Macaca fascicularis: one gene and its partner. The protein of the gene in region 1 binds, or shares a complex with, the protein of each later gene. Links are inferred from orthologs where the notes say so. Each region holds a gene or a part of one and is shown in the gene's direction. Other genes may lie near its edges.

Region 1 (7,916 bases):
TGCCTGAGCCAAGGGGCCTCCTTTCTCCCCATTGCTTGCTCTCATTTTGCAGATCACCTGGTTGTAGGAAGGGCTGGTAAACAAAACTCACACTGGCCTAGACTAGAAATCCCAGTCTTTCCTATTTTCCCTAGATGGTTAAGACAGAAAGGAGAGAATAGTCTACAGCTACCACACTTAAGCAATGAGTTACGAGCTTATGAGGAAAGAGGAGGCAGGTGTCTGGACCAGCGTCTGGTCTTCAAACGGAGCTTACGAGTCTCAGGAGGCCACAACTGTCCCGTTAGTTGACTTTCTGAGGAGAAAAGATGTCCCCAACTGTCTCCTGAGGCCTCCAAACAGTGAGGAAGACTCAACCCCTGAGCTGCCCCCAAGATGCTAAACAACAGAGAGAATGTATAGGAGTTCAAACCTGGGCAGAAAAAAAATATGGGTTTCACTTTCCCGACCTGAACATGGGACGGAGGACTGAAGGAAAGTGCCCCCGCCTCCTGAGTAGTGACCACCCAGGACCCGAGGCACTGTCTCCCCGGGGTCAGAGGAACTGAGGTGTGCAGTTGCCAGAAAATTAGCCCTTCCCCAGAGGGAAGGGAGGAGGGAGGTGGGAGCAGCGCCAGGGCCTTCCCTGAATTCTTCCCCTGTCTGCCAGGGAGTGGCAGTGTTGTTAATCATTATTACTGTATGCAAATCCCACACAGCTCCGGGACTCCTGGCAAACGCTAATGGAGCCCACGCCCACCTCCTGAAGGGCCAATTGTGTACCTTTTAAACTGACAGACTGAAGGGGGCTCCGGAAAAAGTGAGAGTGAGTGAATGAGGGACTCCAAGGTGCCAGGGGCCCACAAAGGCCCAGACCACAATTACCGACTCCCACTCCTTCATCTGGAAGAGGGCTAGGGGTTCTCACAAGCCAGAAGCCCCGTTCCGGATTCAGGGAGGTCGTTTTCCAGCCCTGGGTCTACAGTTGTCCTAGGGTCTAGAACACCCTCGCAGTCTAGAACACCCCCGCGGTCACAACGCACTTTGCGTTCCTCTGCCTCGGCACCCACCTCTCCACACCCAGAAATGTGATCTCTCAAGCCAAGCGTTCCCCGTCCCTGCTGGGGCACCGAGCTGCCTCGCTTCCGGAGCGCCAGGCCGAGATCGGGGGTTCCGGGCACCGAGGCTGGAGACACCGGGAAAGCCGGAGCCGCGGGTCCGCCCAGCGTCTGGGACTGCGCCCTTTGCGCGCCGCCGCCCTGAGGGTGGGAATCTGGGCCGGACACCTGGCCCTGTGGGCCCATGCTGACCTTCCCACTCCCCATCCTGGGTCGACGAGGCACGGGGCAGTGGGGACCCATGGGCTTCATGGAGGGACTGAGGAGCTGGGCGGGCTCCCGTTGGAAGGGGACCGGCTCGGGTGAGAGTTCACGCTCTCAAGTCCAGACTCTCGGTCTGGGTAGTGGGTAGACGTGGCGGAATAGGAGGGCGAATCTCGACCTTCCGATGGTGTCTTCGCCCTCCGAGAGGAGAGCGGCTCATACGTGGGGTTAGAGGCAGTGTGTCCCCTGGGTACCTCTTCAGCCTCTGCACTCGGAGCTGAGAGCCCGGGGCCAGCCGCGAAGCTTGCGCGGTAGGGGGCCCCACCTTGCCAGGTGGCCGGGCTTGGTCTCAGGCAGATGCTGCTGCCCTGTGGACAGTCAGCGAGAAATAGACACACAGCTAGGTGCACACACACCCCACGCGCGCACACGCCGGCGCTCCCTGCCACCTCTCCGTGGGTCCCCAGCCACACACGCCCCCGAACTTACGCTCACGCCGTACTCGCCGCTCCTCCCCACCCCCAAACCCAGCTCACCTTGCCACACTCACCCCCGTGCCCACCCTCGCTGGCACACGCGCTCACACCCGCGTCGGTACACTCCGCCACCTCCAGGCACACCCTAGGATTCCTCCACTCGCCCGGGGAGACGCACCAGGCTCTGCCTCGTTTCCCCACCCCCCGCTCACGCGCGCGCCCCTCTCCACACACACAGACACACACACACGCACTCACACTCTTACACACCCTCGCGCGCGGAGTCACTCCCCCTCGCACGCCCTCGCCCTGGGCACCCTCCCGCGGCGAGACTCCGGGTCCTCCTCCTCTCTCCCTCCGCTGCCTGGCGGCTCGGCTCTCTCCGGCCCGGCGCTCTCCGGCCCGGCCTGGGGCCGCAGGGCCCGCGGGGATCGGAAGAGAGCCGAGGGCGCAGCCTTGCCGCCTCCCCCGGACTCTCCTCTCCTCCCCGCCCCGCCTGCGCCGCGCCCCCACCACCTCCCCCCTCGGGAAAGGGACCTCGAGAGAGGCAGCCCGTGGCCGGCCGGGCTCCGCTCGGCGCGGCGCCGGCAGCGGCGGGGGCAGGGAGCGAGCGAGGGAGCCCGCGAGCCCGCGAGCGGAGCGGCGAGGCGGGGAGGGGACGCACTGCCGAGCCGGGGCTGGAGCGGCGGAGGCTGAGGCTGCGGCAGCGGCGGCGGCGGCAGTGGCGGCGGCAGTGGCGGCGGCAGTGGCGGCGGCAGTGGCGGCGGCAGTGGCGGCGGGGGAGGGAGGGCCCCACGGACGGACGGACGCACGAACCGACCGAGCGAGGGAGGCAGCGAGCGAGACTTCGCTGGCGAGGAGGAGCCGCGCAAGCGGCGGCTGCTGGGCGCTTCCCCGCGCTGCTGGGCGCTCGGCGCCTCCGCGGCCCCCGGCTCCCGGCTGCAGCTTCCTCGCGCGCGCGGGGCGCCGGGCGCGGGGCCCGGGCTGGCTTCGCGGAAGGTAAGAGGGACGCGACCGAGCCTTCTGGAGCCAGGAAGTGCGAGGAGCGCTGCTCCCACGCCTGTTGCTCCGGCTGCCCACGCGGCACCCTCCCACTCCCGCGCCCGGGTGGGTGGGCGCTGGGGCGCCGGAAGGATTGGGGGTGGGGCCCGTGCCGTGGGGGAGCAGGCAGCCGGCCCGGGGGCGTCGGTTCCCTCGGGCTATGGAGCCACCTCCGGGCAGCCAGGCGCTGGGGTTCGGGGGTGGGGTGTGAACCTCTGCCCTCTTTCCATTGGCCTGTCTTCCCTCGGCGGGTGCCAGAGACAGGTGGCGAAGGCTTGCTCCGTCCCCGCTCTTGGTGAGGGGAGAAGGAGAGAAATGGCTGAAAGTGGAAACCGGGAGCGGTTTGGGGCGCTTCGCAAAGTTCTCCAGCCCGGCGAGCCGGCGGTGTGTCTACCAGAGGCTGGGGGCCAGTCCGTCTGGTCCTGCCCGACGCCGCTTCCACCCCGCGAGCTCTGGGAAAGGTCTCTACGTGACGCCAAGGGCCGTCGAGGCCCGGGGAAGGGGGATCGAAAGACTCACTTTGCGAGGTGTTTACATTGGAGGTGGGGGACGGGAAGGGACTGGGCAAAGTTACCTGGACTCAACTAAATTCCTGCGCTTGCTTAGTGTCGACATTTGAATACGATCCAAGATGTTCTGCCTTTATTCCGGGCAGCCCTGATATGTCAGCAACAGGCTGAGGTTCCAGACCTGAAATCGCACAGCAAGAAAAAGGGTCCGTGTATTTCTTAAGAGAGAGCGTCTGAACTTTCTCGGGGTCCTAGGCACAATGCGATGTTTGTAAGACCAGGCATGCGTTGCTGTATTTTGCATGAATGTACGTGATGGTTAAATGTATGCCTTGTTTACCTTACTTCGAGGGAGCCTGTATGTTTACTGTCTGTAGAAAGGGCTCCTGGGTGTGCACGAATTCAATACAAAGCATGTGTACATTTCCCCATGTGGACCTGTTGGCCCACAGGAAGGGAATTGATGTGTTTATTTTTTCCTTGTCTCTACTTGAATGCAACAAAATGCAAGTATACAAGGGACCCCTCTCCCCCACCCCCAGAGAAAGAGGTTGGTAGCTTGTTCCCTTTTGCTCTTAAGGAGGCTGGAGAAAAAGAGTTCAGGAAAGTGCCCTGGCTAGCCTAGGAGTGGCACTGTTGGAGAAGAGGATCTGTGCGTGTGTCCCAAGCCTGTCCCCCAAGGATCCCCAGCTTGTTTCACCTTGTCAGTTTCATGCTTTGCCTACCAAAATCCTGTGAACACAGGAGAAGCCCTCTGGGTCATGGGCACCTTCCGCTGCCCCCAGACCAGCCCTATTCTGAGCTAAGGGATGTGATGTGAGATTGTGGAAAGTAACTTTCCAGATGCTCTCCACTGAGGTCATTGAAGGACAGACCTTGGTGACATGACTTTTTTTGCTGCCTTATGCCTGTACTCAGCTAGGTGTCAAACCCCAGGACAGGCTGTCTGGTCACTCCGCCCACTTTTGGCCTTTTACCTCCAAAACAGAAGCTGTTTAATGGAGTAACTGACTTTTTACAGCAGGGGAAAATGTTTTCCTTTGCCAGGATTTGTCACCTTTTTCATTTCAGAGCTTACCTGTTTTGAATGTCTCTTTTCCAGCCTGCCCCCACCCCCTATCTTTCCCACTGTCAAACTCTTCTGCCAAAAACAAAAATAGCTTCAGATTTTTCATTTGTAAGGCGTCCACGTCCTAGTAAAACCTTGGCATTTGAGGCATGTGCAGTGCCATTGGCTGGAAATGGGGCCGCACTGTTGTGCCTGTTGCAGGAATTCATACCCAGGCCAGCTCCGGAAGGTGTTGGTTCCTGTCAGGGTGCGAACCCTGCTGTATAAGCCATGGAGAAGGCCTACTTGAGTGGGTCATTCCTGCAGGGTTGTGGGGTGGATATGGCCAGTGTAGCCTTGGGTATGTTGTCTGGTGGGACACTTGTCCTCCCCTTTCGCCCTCCAACCCCCACACACAGAGAAAGTAACAATGGGGTAATTGCTCCTTTTTTGGTATGTTTTACCAGGGGGACAGCGGCTGAGCCTCTGGAGGCAGGCAGGTGCTTGCTTGGCCTTCTTTAGGAAGATTGCCCTGGATTCATGCATCGGGTAAACATTTGGCCTTGGGACTGGAAGCTTTTATGGTCTCAAGATAGGGAGGGGTTAATTTTTCCTTCTCCTGAGCTCTCAATTATTCATCTGAAAGCAGTTTGTAAAACACTACCGGTTTTTGGAGATTGGCTTAGGGTAGAGAGGAGAAGGTGATGAGACTCAGCTTGGCAGGGGCAGGTATTAAAACTTGGGAATCCGGGTAGAGCAGGACTAGGAGAATGAAAGGGGAAGGGCATCACCCTCTCAGGGGGCAGAACTCTGTGTCTGGCCACACAGGGTTCCACAGGGTGCCTGTAATTCAGTGGTCTCTTACTTTTTGCCTCTTGAACCCCCTCAAGATTCTGCCTCTCTGAGCTTTATTCTGGGATGAAACAGGATGTTAAAGATCAAAGGTCCAGGGCTGAGAGTCTGGGAACTTGGTCTCCTTTACTCTCTAGGAAGGTGGCCAAGGGTCTGTGGGTAGACCAGGCCTTGAATTGCCCCTGGGTACCAAGTGACACAGGTTATGTGCCCTGTGCAGAGCACCAACCTCAGCAGGAATTCCCAGAACTCCCTTTGCTACCTTGAGGCTCAGGCTAACTCCATCCTCACAGCAACAAGCCCAGATGCTCTACTTCCTTCTTTGCATGGGTGACTGTCATTAAGAGGTCTGAATGAGAACTAAGTTACAGACTTGATGTCCTGGATCCAGTGGAATCAGGGATCATTTGAGCCAAATGGTCTTTTGTCACGTTTCTGTCCAATTCTCAATTTACAGAGGAGGACTCTGAGGCCCAGAGGGTGATCATGGCTTGCTTTCACAAATTGAGGGTGGGATTGAAACTGGAATTGCAAGGCCTCATGAGCCCTTGCTCATTGCTGCCTGGGGAAGATAGGGAAAGGAGTCTCTGCATCTTGCTGTCTTCTGTTGGGAATATCAGTATTGGGCAACACCTAGATCAGGAAAGCCAGTTGGCAGTGAGGTGATCAATGGTCTATTTGAAAATTGTCAGCTCCTATATATACATAGAACTTAGCCACTTTGAAGGAGACTTCTGAACTTCCCTCTCCTTACCTGTAAGCTTTGGGCAGAAAAGCCTCTATCATAGGATTTTAGTGGGAATAAATTAAATATTGTGTGTAAAAGTGTCTCAGACAGTGTCCAGAGCATTGTCGGTGCTCAATAAATGTAACCAACTCTGAATTGGAATCACCTGTGAACAGAGTTGAACTTGTGGACTTGCTTCTCAAACATCCCTTGCCCATTAGAAATAAATCCTAGCTAAGTGCATGCTGAGGAACTACTAAGTCTCCTAATCCTAAACAAAGTATAGTTAGAAGGGTAAATTTCTTCTAGAAAGAAATACAATGCAGGATGTGTTCCCGACTCGTCTATCAGTAGCATGTGAATTACCCACTGCCATGCATGAACGACCTCCATTCTTTCCTCAGTTCCTCGGTTCCAGTAATCAGGAGCTCATCAGGCCTGTGCTGTTTTTCTGTTCTGAGCAGTGACACTTACGGGAAATGTCATTGTCATTCCTGTTATCTTCTGTAGCATCTGACTCAACCTCCCTTTATTAGAGAGAGAAGGGCCCTGTGACAATTCCCTTTAGCATGCAGATGGGGAAACTGAGGCAGAGATTGGCTTCTTTAGAAAACTTGACTGAGTCAGAGGCAGATACTTGAATTGGATTCTTTTGATTCAGATCTGTCTTCAGATTTTACTGTCTGTTTGGAGACAGAACGCTCACCCTTGGCAACCCCTGAAATATATTAGCAAGGCATAGAGTAAAGTTAATGGGGAAAAAATGGCACCTATAAAACTGGGGTCCCAGCTCAAGCACCTACTGATGCAGTGCACTATGCTGCCTTCTGGGTTGTGATATGAAAGTGGAGGCATCTCGGCCTTTGCCCAGAAGAGCTTAGCGTGGGATAGGGAAGGTTGGGGAGTGGTCTGGCTGTACTCTTGAACTCCACATTGAGTCTGCCTGGCTTTAATGGCTGCGCCTACTTATTACATCCTTTAGACAATTATTACAACTCCTTATGCTTCATCTTTCTTTTGTAGAAAAAATATGGCCTACAGTGGTGTCTACTCCTCAGGGTTGTTGGTGAGATCTCTTGAGATGCTCAATGTAAGTGTGTGGTACTGTGCCCGGCACACCGTCAGCCCTCAGCAGACTGCCTGAGGTGGAATCCCTATTCTGCCGCTTTGGGGTTGTTAGACTGCTATGTCTCAGTAAGCTTTAGCTTTCCTTATCTATGAAATGGGGGACACAACAGACTCTTCTTCCTAGGGTTGCTGTGAGGGTTAAATGAGATAATCTATGGGAGATAGTTAGTGTAATGCCTTGCATAGTGTAAGTGCTCAATTGTTAGTCATTGTTAATAATATGTGTATAAAGTATGTGTAATCCTAGCTGTGGGGTGATAGGTGCTAGGGAAGAGGGCAAACAATAAGTCAAGACCCCAGAGGAAGAAGAGAATCTCATAGTGGGGAGAGGAGAAGGCATCACAGAGAGGGTGATGAATAGGTAGGATTCTAATAGGAGGGTTCCAGGGGAAGGATATTCTCATGAGAAGGAAGAGTGGTCCAGAGGCAGACCTCCCCAGGGTCTGTCCATGAACAGGTCTTGGTCTTATTGCTGGAGACTAGGACGGGTACCTGGGCCATTGGGCTGGAGTATGAAGCTAGGATCTATTTGTGGGAATACTGGAATGCCAGGCCAGGAGTTTGGACTTTATTTTGTAGGTCATGGGGTAACATACAATCAGAACCTTGCTTTAGGGAGATAACACTGAGCAGAATGGATTTCAGGGGAACAGGAGAAACCGGGTGGGGTGTGAGAGTGAGCGACAAGAAGGTCCATGGGAAGGAGGCCCGAGGGACTTTGGGCCTTCATGAGGGCAGTAAGAGCTATTGCCTATTATTTGGCAACTCTTTAGAGAAAAATGGTCAAGGTGACAGCCCTGCGGTTAGGGATGTCATGAAGAAAAGGCGAACAGC
Region 2 (7,760 bases), on another chromosome or scaffold:
TGTAAGGACACTAACTCTATCAGATCAGGGCCCCACCCTTATGACCTCTTTTAACCTTCATTAGCTCCTTAGAGGCCCCTTCTCCAAATACAGCCACACCGGCGCTTAGAGCTTCAACATAGGGATTTTGGAGGGACACAAACATTCAGTCTACACCAGGGTTCATGAGGGAGGGGTCAGAGCTGGAGACAGTACATGAGCTAACTCACCTTCCAGAGTAAAGGGAGCCACAGCCACTGAAGCTCAGGTTGGATGGGGCTGGCAAGGTTGCCGTAGTGAGTACATCATGGCAGGGACAACAGGACAAATGGCTCCTGCAGTCAGGGTGACTGATGGGAGGCTTCCTCAGCACTCCTGTCACTCCCTCTCTCCCCATGCAGTTCTCTGCTCTCTGTTGCAAGTTCCCAGGAGGCAGAGAGAGGGCCTGTTATCATCATCTTTCTCTCTTGCCCCTCACACTTACCTGTGTTCTCCTACTTAGACACATTCTTTGTGAGCATCTCAGGGGTGATGTCGGCTGCATTGTACAGTGGGCACGTGCGCACGTGTGTGTATTTATCTGCAAATAATACCTATGTCACAAGACGTCTGCAGGAATAAATGAGCTATTGTGCATGTAAATATCTGGTACATGGTAGATACATGAATGAATTAATATTTGTTGAATGAATAAGTGAATGAATGAATCTTCACTTGGCGGAGCATGTGTCTTCCTTGAAGGGGCAAGGATGATCTGGTAATCATCAGTTTTTACTTACTAACTGGGTCACTGAGCAAAGAAAATCAACTCAGTCATTCATTTATTCAGCATAGATTGACTGCACCCCTGTCAGAAACCAGACAGTAAGCAGAAAGTAGAGAGTTAAATCAGTATGTAAATCAGTTAAAGCAGTCCAGAGGGAGTGACAGGCAAGGAATGGAACAATGAGAAACAAAGCAAGGAGTCCTCTGATAAGACAAGGAGCCCTGAGTGCTATGGAAACCGCAAGCGGGGTACTGACTCGGGGCCAGGGACGGATCCCTGGAGGAGATGGCATCTGCAGTAGATATTCCAGGGTAAGCAGCAGGTGGCCAGAAGGAGAAAGAGGTGAGGAACTTTCCAGGCAGAGGGAACAGCACGTGCAAAGGCCCTGAAGCAGAACCACAACACACATCTGAGAAATAGTGAGGGGTCTGGTAGGCTGAGCCACAGAGGGAGCACCGGAGTCAGGGAGGATTTGTAGAAGAAGCCACAGGCCACAAAAAAGACCTCATGATTCATGTTCAATGGTTTGGATTTTATTTTGGTGACTTCACTTTACACCTACTGTTCAGAGGCAGCCAATGGCAAACACATCCAGAAGCACTTTGCTATTTCTGATCTGCAAAATGGAGCAAGTCATCTGTACTCTGCTTCTTCAGTGGGTTGTGGGGAAGCAGAAATGAGAGGATGACATTCGAGACTTTTGTGACCTCTCAAGTGCTGTCCTTATGGTCATTCAGGTACCATGAAAATTAGCAGAGCCCCGAGGGGGAGGTAGCTTGGTGCTCCCACAGTGGTGTCCTGGAGAAGTTGGCAAAGACACCCAGGGTGGCTTCACCTTCTCCTCGGCAAAGGGCTCTCCTCTGTTCCCTGAATCCTGGACATCCTACTTGGTCCTCTAGTGACCCCGAGCTTCAGCCTCACACGCCCTCTTCCCCAACAGAGAAGGCAGGAGGGAAGCAGGGACCAGCCCCTGCCCCGTCTTCCAGGATTCAAGGCTTCCCTGGCCTGGACAAGCCCTGAGCTGGCAGTTAGGAGAGCAGAGGCTGTGAATCTGATGGGACTCCCAGCAGGTCTTTCTGGCTCAGTGCCCTCATCTGTGAGCAGGGGATTCCCCAGGAGACCATGACAGAGGCCTGGAAACCAACTTCTAATCCCACATCCTGGTTGGGCAACTTCAGGCAAATTTCTAACACTAGGTAAGCCTCAATTTCTCTCTGTGGTGATGGTCAGGCACCTGCTTAATTCACAGGGCTTTGGTGGGCATCACGTGGACAATGTGGTTGCACAGCAGTTGGCAATGCAAAGGAAAGGAAGTATGTTCGTAAGCACACCTCCCCTGTTGCACAAAACAGGACACATGCTGGAATTGCAGAAAAGCATTAAATGCTGCATAGGTGAAGAAAACTATTCAGGGACCCTGGCCAAGTCACAGGCCACCTGTGGCCCTGAGCGGACAGCTCATGGGCTGGCATTAGGGGAAGCAGCTCTCAAGGGGCTTGTATCCTGGGGATTCAACTCTGTGCCTGTGTGTCGTTCAGCCTGTGTGAATGTGGTGACTGTGATGCAGTTTTGCACTGTGTGTGCATCTGCATGCCTGTGTGTTTGTGTGTCTCTCCATCTTTGTGGGCGGCAACTGTAGGTGTATTATGAGCCTTGGGTCTGTCTGTGTGTACAATAGCAATGTCTGTGTGGACTTAAGGAGCTGCGCCCATATGTTTGTGGGACTTTATGGGCATGCATGCTTGTTTATGAGGCCATATGTCCGGGCATTCTGTGAACTGCTAACATGGTGTGTATCTGTGTGGCAGAGAGAAAATCACCAGGTGGGAGTGTGGGGGCCAGCTTGGGTAAAGGATTCTTGGTGTCACAATGGGTCTCAGTGGGAACCCAAGCAGCTCAGACTTGGGGGAGGGAAGCTCTTCCTCCACCTTCCAGGGAGCAAATCTTGCATTTCAACACCACACGGCTTTGAGTTCACAGGCAGGGACGCAAACTTTGCCCTTTGGGTGAGAAGCCACCCACAGAAGGGAAATGGCTTCCTGAATCTAATCATTGCCCCTTCAAGCACTAACAACCCGTGCCAGGAGCTGATGGCTAATAAATTTTTGAGCTGGAAAGGGAGAAGAGGGAGAACCAAGGAGGAAAGAAACAGAAAAACGAGAGAGCAGTCTGGGTGCGATGGCTCTTGCCTGTAATCCTAGCACTTTGGGAGGCCGAGGCGGGTGGATCACCTGAGGTCAGGAGTTCAAGCCCAGCCTGGCCAATATGGCGAAACCCCATCTATACTAAAAAATACAAAAAAATTTATCTGGGCCTGGTGGTGGGCGCCTGTAATCCCAGCTACTCCAGAGGCTGAGGCAGGAGAATCACTTAAATCTGGGAGGCAGAGGTTGCAGTGAGCAGAGATCGCGCCATTGCACTCCAGCCTGGGCAACAGAGCGAGACTCCATCTCAAAAAAACAGAAAAAGAAAACTGGGAGTGTAAAGGCTCAGAGGGGCTGAGGGCTCCTTTCTTCTCCCCAACTTCCTGTCAGTAGAAGGTGGGCCCTGCCATGGGAGAATTCTGCAGAACCCTCAAGGACCCGTGGAGCAGGACGGCACCTTCTTGCTGTGACCATCCATTTGGATGTGTTTTTCACCCCTTTCTGGGTGGGGCCGACTTTCCCCCTCCCCATGAGTTCAGGCAGTGGGTTAAATAAGATTTCCCTTGAAGTCAAATGAAATCACAATGCACCACACACAGGAACACACACACACGCACGCGCGCACATCACACACACACACACACACACACACACAGAGTCTCCCTGGGGCCACTCAACCTACTGCCCCCTGAACCGCACCCATCAGCCAGGTACCTGGCCCCGGATCTGTCTCTTAGGGTCGCATGCTCCTGGGGGTCCCGCGCAGACCCCGGGCGGATGAGGGTGCGCGAGGGTGAGGGCGCAGGGCCGGGTGTCCCCCGCCCCCACCGTGCAGCCCTCGCCCCCGCCCCGCCCCTCCGCAGTTGCCAGCCCGCCGCCCCCTCCGCGGCTCCGACTCTCGCCCCGAGCGCTGGCGGCAGGCAGCAGGCAGCGGGCGGGCGCGCTGTGGCTCCGCGCCGCGCGGTCCGGGCTCTGTTCATTCATGATTGGTACTCGGCCCTCCGAGACCCAGCCCGAGCGCCGGGAGGGGAGCCGAGCGTGCGGCAGGAGGGGCGGGCGGACCGCGGCTCCCGCACCGCACGCGGCGCTGGCTCGGCAGCCTTGGCCGGGCGGGCGCGCTGGCCCCGTGTCCAGTGCCAGGCAGGCTTCAGGGCACCGTCCTCGGCCCTGGGCGAGGGAACCGGCCGGGCCGAGTCCTCGCGCGGGGAAGCGGTTCCGAAGGCTGGCGGGGAGCAGCTAGCCCTGAGTCCCTGCATGTGCCGGGCTGAAGAAGGAATCCAGAAACCTCCTAGCCTCGGCTCCACGCTCGCTGAATACCAAGCTGCGGGCGAGCTGCCGGTCGCTTTTCTCTCCTCCAATTCAGAGTAGACAAACCACGGGGATTTCTTTCCAGGGAAGGGGAGGGGCAGGGCCCGGGGTCCCAACTCGCACACAAGTCTTCGCCGCCATGGGGGCCGTCATGGGCACCTTCTCATCTCTGCAAACCAAACAAAGGCGACCCTCGAAAGGTAAGCGACCTCCTTCTTCCTTTTGTTCCCCTGTCTGGGTTTGGGGGTGCTGGGCGCCGAGGTGGGGTGTGCCACCTGCCTCCCTTAGTCCGGACTCCCCTCTCCACCAGGAGCCCGGACAGGTGATTGTATCCAAAGGAGAGAGAAACCGGTGGGAGGGTTGGTGTGAACACCAGAGGAGGGAGCCAGAGTGGACGTTTGCCCCATCGGCGACTGGACCCCTCTGGGGCACCAGGCGCCGGGACTCTTCTCCTGGGGAAATCTCTGGGAGCCGAAGGAAGAAGCACGTTCACAGGTGGGGTGACCGGATTCTCTGGTGGAAGTGTGTGTGACAGCTGGCGTTTGAGCACTCAGGGAGGGTGCTCCCACACTCCCACACTCCTCCCAGGCGGCTATGCCAGGTACAGACCTGCGAGTCCCTTCATCAGGAAGAGTGCTCTGTCTGCACCCCCGAAACCTCTGCAAGCCAAAAGGAATCAGCTACTGCCAGGGGTAAAACTCCCAGGCCTTATGTCCTGGTGGCTCCGGGAGTCAGGAGGAGCAACCGTGAAGGGCTGGCTGGGAGCTGAGCTTACAGCAAGGATTTAAAGCATAATATCCTGGAGTCTCTTCTGCCTGGACGCTGTTCCATCACCACCTGTCCCCAGCCGAGGCATAGCTGATCTCACCACCTGTGAGAGAGTCCTCAAATGGGTCCAGATGAAGTTGAAACTAGTGTGTTGGGCCCTGGAGGACAATGCAGGTCTCCTTACCAGCAGTTCGAAAGTTAGTTGCTGGAATAAAGAGACTGGAAGCAGTTAGGAAACGGGAAATGATGGGTTTTGTTTTGTTTAATGTTCGAATGTCACTATGAGTGGTAAGATTTTAAGTAGCTTTGACACTTAAACATTCAAGTTCTACCATCGGAGCCCCCATCCTGGATACAGGTGGGAGTTACAGCTCCTACCCTATATGCCCGATAGTGAGTAGAAGTGCAATGGGGGTAAGGGACCCCTTCTCCTCTTAGAACGCGGTTGGTCTCACCCTGGTTAGAACCACAGAGATCTACGCAAGTAAACTGTCCCTGAAACCCCCTGGAAGAAGGGGTCCCAGCTTCTGGCCTAGATCCCAGAAGCATCAGGCTGGCTGAGCCCCAAGGAAAGCGATCTCTGGGTGCAGATCTTAGGTGCTGAAGCTGGGTTGACATTTACAGCCTAGAACATAGGAAGAGGCTTTGACCCATTTGTCCAGCTGAGTTACACGTCCTGCTGGCAAGGATGGGACTGGTTGCCCTTTTACCAGTCCTGACCAGAACAGGTCTGCAAAGCTCAGCCCAAGGCCTTGACACTCCAAGCCTCACCTCTTGCAGATCCTGGGATGCTGCTTGACTGGAGACAATTTTCAGCACCAAATCTAGGTCTTCTCCCTCATCACCTGTCTGGCCACCATGCGGTCTCAGAGGCCAGGGGACTGTGGGGACAGGAAAGTCAGGGGCTTGTTTTTAAATATTTTGCATGCCTGTGGCTCTCCTGGGAGCTGGGTGTCACAGAAAGATCTCAGGCCCTAGATTCAAGTTGAGTCTGGGTATGAATCCCAGCTCTATCATTCCCTGCCTCTGGAACGTTAGGCGAGTCCCCCCACCTCCCTAAGCCTCAGGTTTTCATCCATAAAATTCGTATGCTACTTCCTGGAAGGAAACTGGTTATGCAGGAAGTCAAGGAAGGGGGGACTCGGCTTCATATTCTGTGTTGGCTGCAGCCACCAGGGACCCAGAGGAAGTTGTTGTAAGGATGTGAGAATTGAATGAATGATGAATACGGAGCTCTTTGCATAGGGCTGGGGAAAGAGTAAGAGCTCAGGCATTGCTGTCTACCATTTCCTTCTCCTGCCCCAAACATCCAGGAATTTACCCTGGATGAATTCCTGCAGGATTCCCGAAGTACAAAGGTCTTTGCTTCTGTCTCAGATTCAAAGAAAGAGAAGAGGGGGTACTAGCATTTAGTGTGCCCCTACTATGTGCTTGCCATAGTGCTAGGTGTTTTATCAACAACTCTCATTTAACTCTCACAACAATGTTTGTTTGAGACTCATGGCAGGTTCGGGGCCAATGGGTGGACTCCCAAGACAAGCTACCAAAGCACTGAGCACTCAGCCTTTCCTGCACAAAGCCTGTGACACTGGCGTGAGTTGTCCAGGGGTCCAGCTGCATATGTTCCCCCAGGCATTTGCCCCCGGAGCAGAGTCATCTCACTGCCTTGCACAGTGGAATGCTAATCAGCAGAAGACCCTTCTATGGGAAGCAGCTTGGAAACCTGGAGGGAGTCCTGGCTGGGGAGGCTAGTGGTCAGGGATCCTATCCTGGCCAGGTCACTTTTCCCCACTGGGGTCCCAGTTTCTTCTTTGTAAAAGGAGAAATTCACATTAGGCATTTCCTCAGGTTCCATTTGGTTCTCAAATTCTAATATTTTTGTGGTTGATGCTCTCACCAGAGCTGCTGCTATGATCTCAGAGACGTGAGGCTCAGATCTAATTAGAAGCGGTCAGAAGAGAGCAGTTGGGATTTTTCAACTCAGGAATCAGTCTCCCTGCTGGGTTCAAATTCAGGCTCTGCCACTTACTAGCTGGATGACTAAGCCTTGTTTTCCTCAACTATAAAACAGGGGTAGTAGTAGTTACCATCTTAAAATAGCTGTTGTGTTGTGTGGATTTCAAGGATCATGCAAGTCAAGCATTTAGCACAGCTCTGAGCTATAAGTGGTCTGCAAATTTTAGGTACTATTCAATTTGTGGCTCTATTGTTTGGGGCTTCCAAACGTCCAGAGTAAGGCCATTTTCCAAGTAGGCAGTACATCTGAGAGTCTTAACAGCTCATTTCTGGAAACCTTATCCAGCCCTATCCAGATAACTAGGACCAAAAACCCAGGCACACAGATGCTCGTCCCTTGCTTCGGCCCTCACTGACCTCTACTCTGTGGCTTGTCCTGAAAACATCAAAGCCTGCTCAATTAAAATCCTGAATGCTTTGATAATACAATTTAGAAACATACATCGTTTTTAAATGGGGCAAAAACTCTGCATGATTAGTGCTGCAAGAAGATATCCAGCCCAACCTGGTGTTCAGAGAGAGCTCTCTAAAGGCAACAGAAATCTAAAGTAATTTAAGAGCCATGCCACTGAATAAAAATATTCAGGTTCACTTCCTGTCCTTCTCTCTGTTTGGGATCTTTGTGTGTCTTTAATTAAAAGTAGAAGAGCCCTGCTTTTGGGATTCAGCCTCTGCATCCCAGTCCCAGAGAGAATTTCTGGCTCTAGCAGTTTTGCATGTGCATGACACACCAAGGACACTGCTCCTGGCCTTGAATGGGCAAGTGAGACAGGCTAGGG

The links. The genes of interacting proteins can lie anywhere in the genome.
Region 2: the proteins of KCND3 (region 1) and KCNIP1 are in contact, whole or in part, in a crystal structure (PDB 2NZ0), measured with the Homo sapiens proteins. The link is inferred for Macaca fascicularis from reciprocal best matches to the Homo sapiens genes KCND3 and KCNIP1. Residues at the interface, in NP_001365898.1 of Homo sapiens: Ala6, Ala7, Trp8, Leu9, Pro10, Phe11, Ala12, Arg13, Ala14, Ala15, Ala16, Ile17, Gly18, Trp19, Pro21, Val22, Pro26, Met27, Pro28, Leu29, Ala30, Pro31, Lys34, Lys36, Arg37, Asp39, Trp54; in NP_001030009.1 of Homo sapiens: Leu67, Arg69, Gly70, Phe71, Glu74, Val80, Phe85, Ile88, Tyr89, Phe92, Phe93, Tyr101, Leu105, Phe109, Phe122, Ala125, Leu126, Leu129, Leu130, Leu138, Trp140, Thr141, Leu144, Tyr145, Ile161, Val162, Ile165, Tyr166, Met168, Met169.

What each region holds. Positions count from the first base shown.
Region 1 is NC_088375.1:122,369,931-122,377,846, forward strand, and holds the start of KCND3 (A-type voltage-gated potassium channel KCND3), read left to right. Parts: upstream 1-3,106; 5' UTR 3,107-3,345; intron 3,346-7,916. UniProt on the Homo sapiens protein: Pore-forming (alpha) subunit of voltage-gated A-type potassium channels that mediates transmembrane potassium transport in excitable membranes, in brain and heart. In cardiomyocytes, may generate the transient outward potassium current I(To).
Region 2 is NC_088380.1:177,304,707-177,312,466, forward strand, and holds the start of KCNIP1 (A-type potassium channel modulatory protein KCNIP1), read left to right. Parts: upstream 1-3,782; 5' UTR 3,783-4,336; coding exon 4,337-4,397; intron 4,398-7,760. UniProt on the Homo sapiens protein: Regulatory subunit of Kv4/D (Shal)-type voltage-gated rapidly inactivating A-type potassium channels. Regulates channel density, inactivation kinetics and rate of recovery from inactivation in a calcium-dependent and isoform-specific manner.